Drosophila melanogaster: one gene and its partner. The protein of the gene in region 1 purifies or fractionates together with the protein of each later gene. This does not show direct contact. Each region holds a gene or a part of one and is shown on either strand. Other genes may lie near its edges. The genes, in order: Tsp and slow.

What was found.
Region 2: the proteins of Tsp (region 1) and slow purify together in Drosophila melanogaster (affinity purification with western blotting, with the first as the bait; one study listed by BioGRID). This does not show direct contact.

The regions. Positions count from the first base shown.
Region 1 is NT_033779.5:6,707,355-6,711,283, forward strand, and holds the start of Tsp (thrombospondin), read right to left. Parts: upstream 1,733-3,929; 5' UTR 933-1,732; intron 1-932.
Region 2 is NT_037436.4:4,382,424-4,386,352, reverse strand, and holds the start of slow (slowdown), read right to left. Parts: upstream 1,912-3,929; 5' UTR 1,726-1,911; exon of another isoform or gene 1,466-1,725; intron 1-1,465.

The DNA of each region.
Region 1 (3,929 bases):
TTAAGTATTTTAACCGTTGTTGGGGAATGTGACCAGCTTCATTTGGTCAACATCATTAGCAATCTGTGGCTGCCGTTTCGAATCACAATTCATATTTGTTGGAGGGGAAAATATTCTGTGCTCTGACCTTATATGATCCACATAATTATAGTTCTCGCAAAGGCATAAACCTCAATCTGATCTGCTTTAAATACGTGTGGAAAGTCCGGTAATTAATAAATTATGACTCGACTGCGGTATTTATGGCGCCAATGCAGATAAGATCTCCCCAGATCCCCCATAGATTAATGTCGCTCGAATGGTGAGGATGCCACAGGCCGATTTTGCCGCCAGATTGCGGTTGACTTGGGTGTGGCTAATTAATATGTATCGATAGTATTTGAATTACAACAACAATTAGCTTGATTTATCATCAGATATAAAATGGCGGTGAAATGAATAGAAATCTTGTGAGGCGCTCATAAAAAATATTCATAGATTGGCCTATCAACAACTTGGTGATTATCATGCAATAAAGTCGAATGAAAAGGAGTTAAACTGCTGTGGGTGTGCAGCTAGAAGATGCGATTCTTTAGTCTACAGTCTGTTAAGATTGAAAACAAGAAATTAGCATTTAGCTATTAATAACTTTCTAAATGAATGATATTAATAAACATAGACCCAAGTCGTGATTACTTCCGTATATCTTTCGTTTATCTTTACGATCCTGAGAATATGTTAAAAATGAGATGATGCATCATTATTAACGCAACTTCTTTAAGAACAACTTAATATGCTCTAGTACCTTCCAGGCACTTGAATATGGAATGCACTTCGCACCTGGCCACTTGGCGCACTCATTTTCCGAGTGAGCGGAGTGTAGCCCAGATTTTGGCCACACGAATAAGCAGCATATGTAGAAGCCCGGAGGTCTGGCCCACCTTCACACTCACCTCGTGGTCAAGGACGCTGCTCTTGCTCTAGAGGTGCCCCCACTGCGGATGTGGATGTGATCCAAGTGATCCACTTGGCGGGACGGAACTGACAGCTCCTTGTTGTTTGTGCGGCTCGTTTGCGCCACTTGCGGCTGTCAACGCGCAATTTAGAATGGAAACGACCTGAGTTATTTTTACGAGTATTGCCACACTTTTCCGCCGCTTTTTCCTGGACGCCCGCACAGACACTTTTATTATGTTGTACTTTTGCAGAGCGAAAGATCAAACACGTCGCAAGGGTATCTTCACACTAAAAGAATCGATAACGAAACGGATGCATTAGACCATTTAAACCCTTTTCGAAATACGCGCCAGGTAGAAAAGCTGGATTTTGGAATGGGGACACACGCGAAGATTTCGTGGAGTCGATTTTATGGAATCGCGGTGGAGAACACGCGACGCCAATGCCTACAATCCTCCAGCAACGACAACTGCTCCGCAACTGACTCGCCCGTTCGTGCCAATAAAAATTAAAACACTTTTATGCTATTAAGGCGAACGCGACGCGATCTTGGACACCTTGGATGCAGAGGATGCTGCTTGAGGATCGATCGGATTTAAAAATATGGGCAAAAAACTTTGTACAGCGCGGGCTGATTTCAAAAGCACACTTAGGAAGCGTTTGAAAACTGAAACATTCTCGCGATAGTTCGATCGATTGATGCTACTGATTTATCGCCAAAACTAATCACTGATCACTTATCGAAGCACCTAGGACACGCACCGTCTTGTTCAACGTTCCAACGCGAACTGAAACTGAAAATTTGAAAATGCAAAGGGAATGATCGACGCGCAGCGTCGACTGAGGCAGCGGCAGCGCTGTTGGCTGGAGCAACTTGGAGCAGCGACAACTTGTTGTTGCCTTTCTGCGTTTCTGTTTTGTTCTCAGCTGTTGTTGTTGCTCTTGGGAGAAACGCGGCATTTTGTCTTCGTTTGTGTTTCTTTTGATTTGACGCGTGAGTAAGCCGCGACGCCCACGTGCAAAATTTGCGTAAACATCGACAGTGTGGCCAGATCGCTGCTGAATAATTGAGGAAGTGAGTGGAAAAAGTGGTAGTCAACTTTCAGATCTCATATCTTCCGCTTCCTTAGTAAAAAATAAAATTTTATAATGGGTAATCTTCTTTAAAATATAGGAAATTTAAAATTTATTTTCTATATAGAAAATGTTATTTTAAATATTCTGTAACGATCAGCGCAGTTTTCGTTTGTGCGCTTTAAGTTGCAATTATGTAATATATTGTTTAAAACTGCTGTGTAATTTGTAAGAATAAATATTTTGGTTAAAAGTCGCTCTCTGTGATTATATTTATGGGTAATTACTTATTGTCTTCAGTTCATTAGTTTATCCACCAATTATTATGGTGGAGTCGCCCACTTGGGCTGCCCCAATTGTAGATCGTTTGGGCCATTAAACTGAAACTCAATCCCGAAACATGCTTACATTGTAGGCCCGTTTAAGGCCATTAAATCGGATTCGTGCGAACCCTTTTCCGATAATGCGTCCATCCTTGTTTTCGACCACCACCTCCAAATCCAAAGGAACTCGGTGGATGGGGCCAGACTTTTGCTCTTTTGAAATGGAGATCGTAAATAAACGGCACGCTCTGCAGGCATTCAAAACAGACGAACTACTCGTTAAAACCAGAGCCCAAAATGATATGCATATGGCACCTATTAATGGCTACTTATGCAGTACAAGTGTCCCCCATTTCGGAACTCCCTCCACTCCTATTTGCCGTTGACACGGGACTGATGCGTAACACGACAGTAGCATCGGGATCCAAGGGAAAGGGAAGTTGAATGAATGGCCCGACCTGTTCGTCATTATGTCGCCGGCATGTCAGCGGACAGTTGGAGGAGGGCATTATGCAGATGTGCATTTATCACGGAGTTGCGGTGCTGCGGACACACCCGAGATGCTATCCCACATCAACGCTGCATATTTTGCCGCTTTTCGGACAGCGGCGACCACTTGCTGAAATTTCATTATGTGCGTGATTTATAAATAAGCCTCGCTGGCCCCACGCCCCATTCCACACACTCCTCGTCCGAATCCTCCTCGAGTTGTTCCCAGCATCTTCAGTGGTTACGAGCTAAGACGTCCCACGCACTTTTCGACGCCGCAACAGCAACATCAAGTCTGATCTCCTCCGAAATGCCCCACCTTTACCCCACCACCTCGCACTGCAGTTCAGTGCGTATTAATCATAAAATTGTATTATTAACATGTTTATTTTTCGGTCTTCAAGATTCGATTACACGCATTCTTCCTGCTCTTCGTGTGCAGCGCTTTCTGGAGTGTTTTTTTTTCCTCAGCGAACGTGACTTTGTTGTGCAGTGTAACGAAAGTGAGCTACTTTCTAACACTCTTAGGGGGGTTTGGGATTATCATCAGCCTTCAATTGCTCTAGGAAATATTGTCATTTTACGACTTCGCCGGTTAATTGGGTTACGTGGCTTTGGCCACTGATGCCGACCAGGCCAGATGCCTTGCACCTGGAAATAGTGTGGGAGTTGGCAAGACATGGTTTGATTGGAGTGAAGTTGGTCAAGCTTCCGGCTTAATGATTCAAAGGAGAGTGTTTAATGGCAGTTGATAAATATGCATATCTAAGTGCAAATATTTACCTAAAGGTGTTACCATAGCTCTCCATTCACCCTACAAACTAAAAGCAAGTGCTTATCACTTAATTTCCAACTCAGCCCCTTTTTTTTTGGGCCAATACAATATAATTAAAAGTAGTTAAAGGTCAATTCACCAGCTTATCGGGGAAGTAAAACTGGTTTGCTCGCATATCAATTCAAAAATATTGAATAAATATTTAAGGGCCCGTCGGTGAGTGTATAATTAACGTGGAGGGCTTAAGCCATAAAACTAGTGATTAACGCCAAGTTAACAACAAAAAAATAAACCGGCATTGCGGGCTCTTCGCAAACAAAACTCAGCATGTT
Region 2 (3,929 bases), on another chromosome or scaffold:
CTTCAATAATAATTTCATTTTATTTGATATCCTGTGACCATATTCCGTTTCTAATGGCCAATTACTCATTTGTGATCGATAACTGTGAGATACATGTACCTTTTTCCAGCAAGTTCAACTGTTTTTAACGCGAAAACTCATTTCAATAACAATTGCAGCGACCCAAAAAAGGCCAAAGGAAAAACTGCAACAGCAGAGCTCAATTTGCTGGCATGTCCAGTCTTTTGCTAATTGCTTTGCAGCTGCAAGGGGGCGGAGGCCACGCCCACACGTGCCCCGCAGACCCATTGCCCATATGAACAAATAGTATATATCCATATATATGTATGCATATAGCTATGGTTCATGTTGACCCGCGACCAAGCCGGACAAAAGTCATAAACCCAGTTACCGTTAGCTGCGTAATTTATGGAAATGACTTTGTCTAATTAGCAAAGTCGAGGAAAAACAAGAAAACCAACAACAAACTCCACCCCACTTTCCAGTGGCGTTAACCATAATAACATTTGTATAGACACTATGATACGCAGAAAGGCACGATCGCTTTCCACGGATCGTGCCCCAAACTTCGATTTCTGATTGCTCACCTGCCAAACGATATGTGTGAGAATGCAGAATGCACGTTGGGGCAAACAAAAAAAAAACGAAACTCATTTAGCCATATGTATGCATAATTGTTAGCCAAACTAGTCTAAACAATGGAAAGTATTGATACATCTATTTTTGATTTGTGTCGTTTTCCGCTTTGTCACATTATTTACACTAATTTTTGATGGCGATAACGTCACAAGATTTACATATTTATTTTGGTTGCATTCATGTCAGCAATAATGTTGGGCTATAAAATGTTCATTTCGATAGTGAAGAAAAATGGTTATATAAAATATATATATTTTAAACTTATCTAAAAGAGTAAAAATAAATTACAAGATTTCCGCAGAACAATCTTTGTTTACGCAAAAACGAAGCAATGAATTAATCCTTTATCAGATCATTGTTGAAAGAAATAAAATTTATTGAGCAATTTATTGCCATTTCGAAATAAATAATTTGCATTGAAGAAAACACGGAAACAAATTACACTGTCTTAAACACTTTTTATCAAGGTGCAAATTACCGTAGAAAATTACCAAGAAAATTATCACAAATTGTACATTGAAAACTACTCAGAATTATTGACAATTATTTAATAAAGACATTGTCTTGAAGTTCTCACGATAATTAATTCTTAGACCATTTATGGCATTGTTTGGCAGCCAAAGCGCATATGTAAATGGTAAGCCAACTTAGTTAGCCGCTCCACAAAAATGCAAATTACGTCCATAAGTGACATGTAACTCCTAGACAGGATAGGCAATGCGATTTTGAGCAAGATTAATGCACTAGGAAATGTCGCACCGCGCTTTGACACACATTCAAATCATAAGTAATTGCAATTAATTAAAGCTATTTGCATGTGACTTACACACGGCGAACAAATTCCAACTGACCCAGCCAGTGTTCAGAGAAAAACAGAGATAATCTTGCCCAGATTTAAAATTCCTCTTTATAGAGATGACCCGAAACACGCGCGAATAAATCAAAGCACAATTATGCCAAATTTGCAATCACAAACAATAAATTGAATTGAGTTTTCGCGCTGACATTAAGCAGATACGCGGCACTGTGCCTTTTTTGTACAATAAAATATTTTAATGGCCGTGAATGGGCCTTTTCGAAACATACTATATATATATATTTGTGAAATATATACGGCTCTTGTGATTTTCCGGATTCTGCGTTAGCCGCTTCCGTATGCCAGGCACAAAAACCGAGCGAACTGGCTGCGATCTTTGAGATACAAATTTCCAGCTGGCGCGGCGGAGCTAACGAAATCCAAACCGATCGCTTAGAAGTCCCGAGACGAACTGAAAATGCACAGCCGAAACCGAAAGTCCAGTTAACGATCGGCGATCGACGGCGCTGCCAGTGCAGTCGGAAAGTGGAGCCAAAAGTATATAGATTGTATACTCTGAACACTCCGAACATCGGTAAATATTTAGTTATTTTCTTAAACATTGATTCATTCATATATCAGTAGCACACTTTACTTTTTGTTTACTTCTTTGGAATCGGGATAACTGTAGATGCCGTAGAAAATACGTCGAGTTTTCTGAAATCTACATATATATTTGTTTTTAAAAATATCTTTACCTGATATTTTAGCAAAATTTTGAAAAGGGTAAATTTCTCTAAAATAAGAAGCCACACAAACTTCTACAAATATGTAAGATTTTACTACTCAATTTATCTTGCTAAATATCAGTGGAATTTTAATATGTTTCTCAGGTGTATTCTTATTAGTCTGTATATAATCTGTATATATTTTTTTACAGCTAGAAATAGCCAGCTGGTCTGCACTGTCAGACCAGTCGAAGCCCATGTTCGGTGCACATTGGCTGGTTCGCTCAAACGAAATTGGACCGATGGGGGCACAAGTTGGCTTCCTTTGTTCGATGCAACTGTGGAGCGGATGAATTCGCCAGGCGGAAGAACTCTTTGTGGTGGGGCTGAGGGGCGCAGTGGTGGGTGGTGGGCGGCGCAGTGGGCAGGTATGCCCTCGGCTGGTCGTTGGCTGGTTTTTGAGTGCGTTACAGCTGTTTTGTTTATAGGAGGATCATCTCTGCACTCTCTGCACAGTTCAAACTATTTGGAAGTTGCGGTTTGTGCTTTTTATGGTCCGCCGTTGTTGTTCTTGCGGCCACGGCTGCTTTTGTTGCATCTTCTTCGGTCGGTGGCAAGTTGTTAAGTTAAATATTTACCCACCGCTGCCGGGCAGCCAGTTTAGGCCACGGCTCGCTGATCTTTCACATCGAGAATCCGAGTCCCAGAGCGAAGAAGAACTCGTTTCCAGCCCTTCTGTCCATATCGGGTGCTGGATCTGTCGTTGTCATCATAAGAGTGCTACTGTCAACCACACTCGAAAAATGCCACTAAGTCTAGATTTAATCAAAAATTCATGGGTTAAACATGATAAAGGTTTTAAATGTACTTTAATTCATGTCCTAAGTAAGTCTGTTATATTATATATGTACAGTACTTTCCTTAAGCATAATCACTTTTGTATATAACTTTTTTGATTGTGCTAGATACAATAGTTTCGCCAAGTGCATTGCCACATACTATTAGCCACTGGCAACAGAATAGCTGCCCACTGTCTAAATGCTGAGCACATTGGACATGTCAAAAGGATTTGCGCCTGCGCTGTGGAACATCCAGCATTCAGCATTCGTCCGTGCGAATCCATCCCATAAACTGGTTGCACATTCCCTGGCCAACAGAATGGTCATAAATCGAACAATGTGCCAGCCATTGACAGTTCGCTTAGCTGCACAAAGGTACTACGGTCTTCTCTTAATATTATGTGTGTGTTGCTTCGGTTTCCTCGCCGCCGACAATCACAATTTATTGGGCTATTAGCTGCCACTTGAGTGGGGACTTTGGGTTTGGGGAACACCCACGCCGCGTTCCCAAATCGAATTCAAATAAAGCATAAAAGCATAAGAGCTGAGATAACAAAGCCGGGTACCCCGCTCAGACAATTAACTGATAACAATTCATTAGCATTTCGTGTGGGTTGCCCATCGCCTTCGTCATAATCACGATCTTTTTCATCAGTTGCAGCAGCTCTGCATTGGAGTTTAGGTAATTTGACAGCCATTTGATGACCGACAACATGTGGCCAAAGTGTATCTTCTTAACTGGTTTAGGTGGGAAAGCATAATGGATTCGATTTTGTTACAGGCAATATATTTTTAATGAGAAGTATGAAAGACAAGCCATGCTTAAAAGGTTTACTAAGGTTAAGAACCATAACTTCGTTACGATTGTTATGTATTTAGCATTTTATTTGAAATTAACATGTTATTGCTCGCATGTGCTAATTTTAA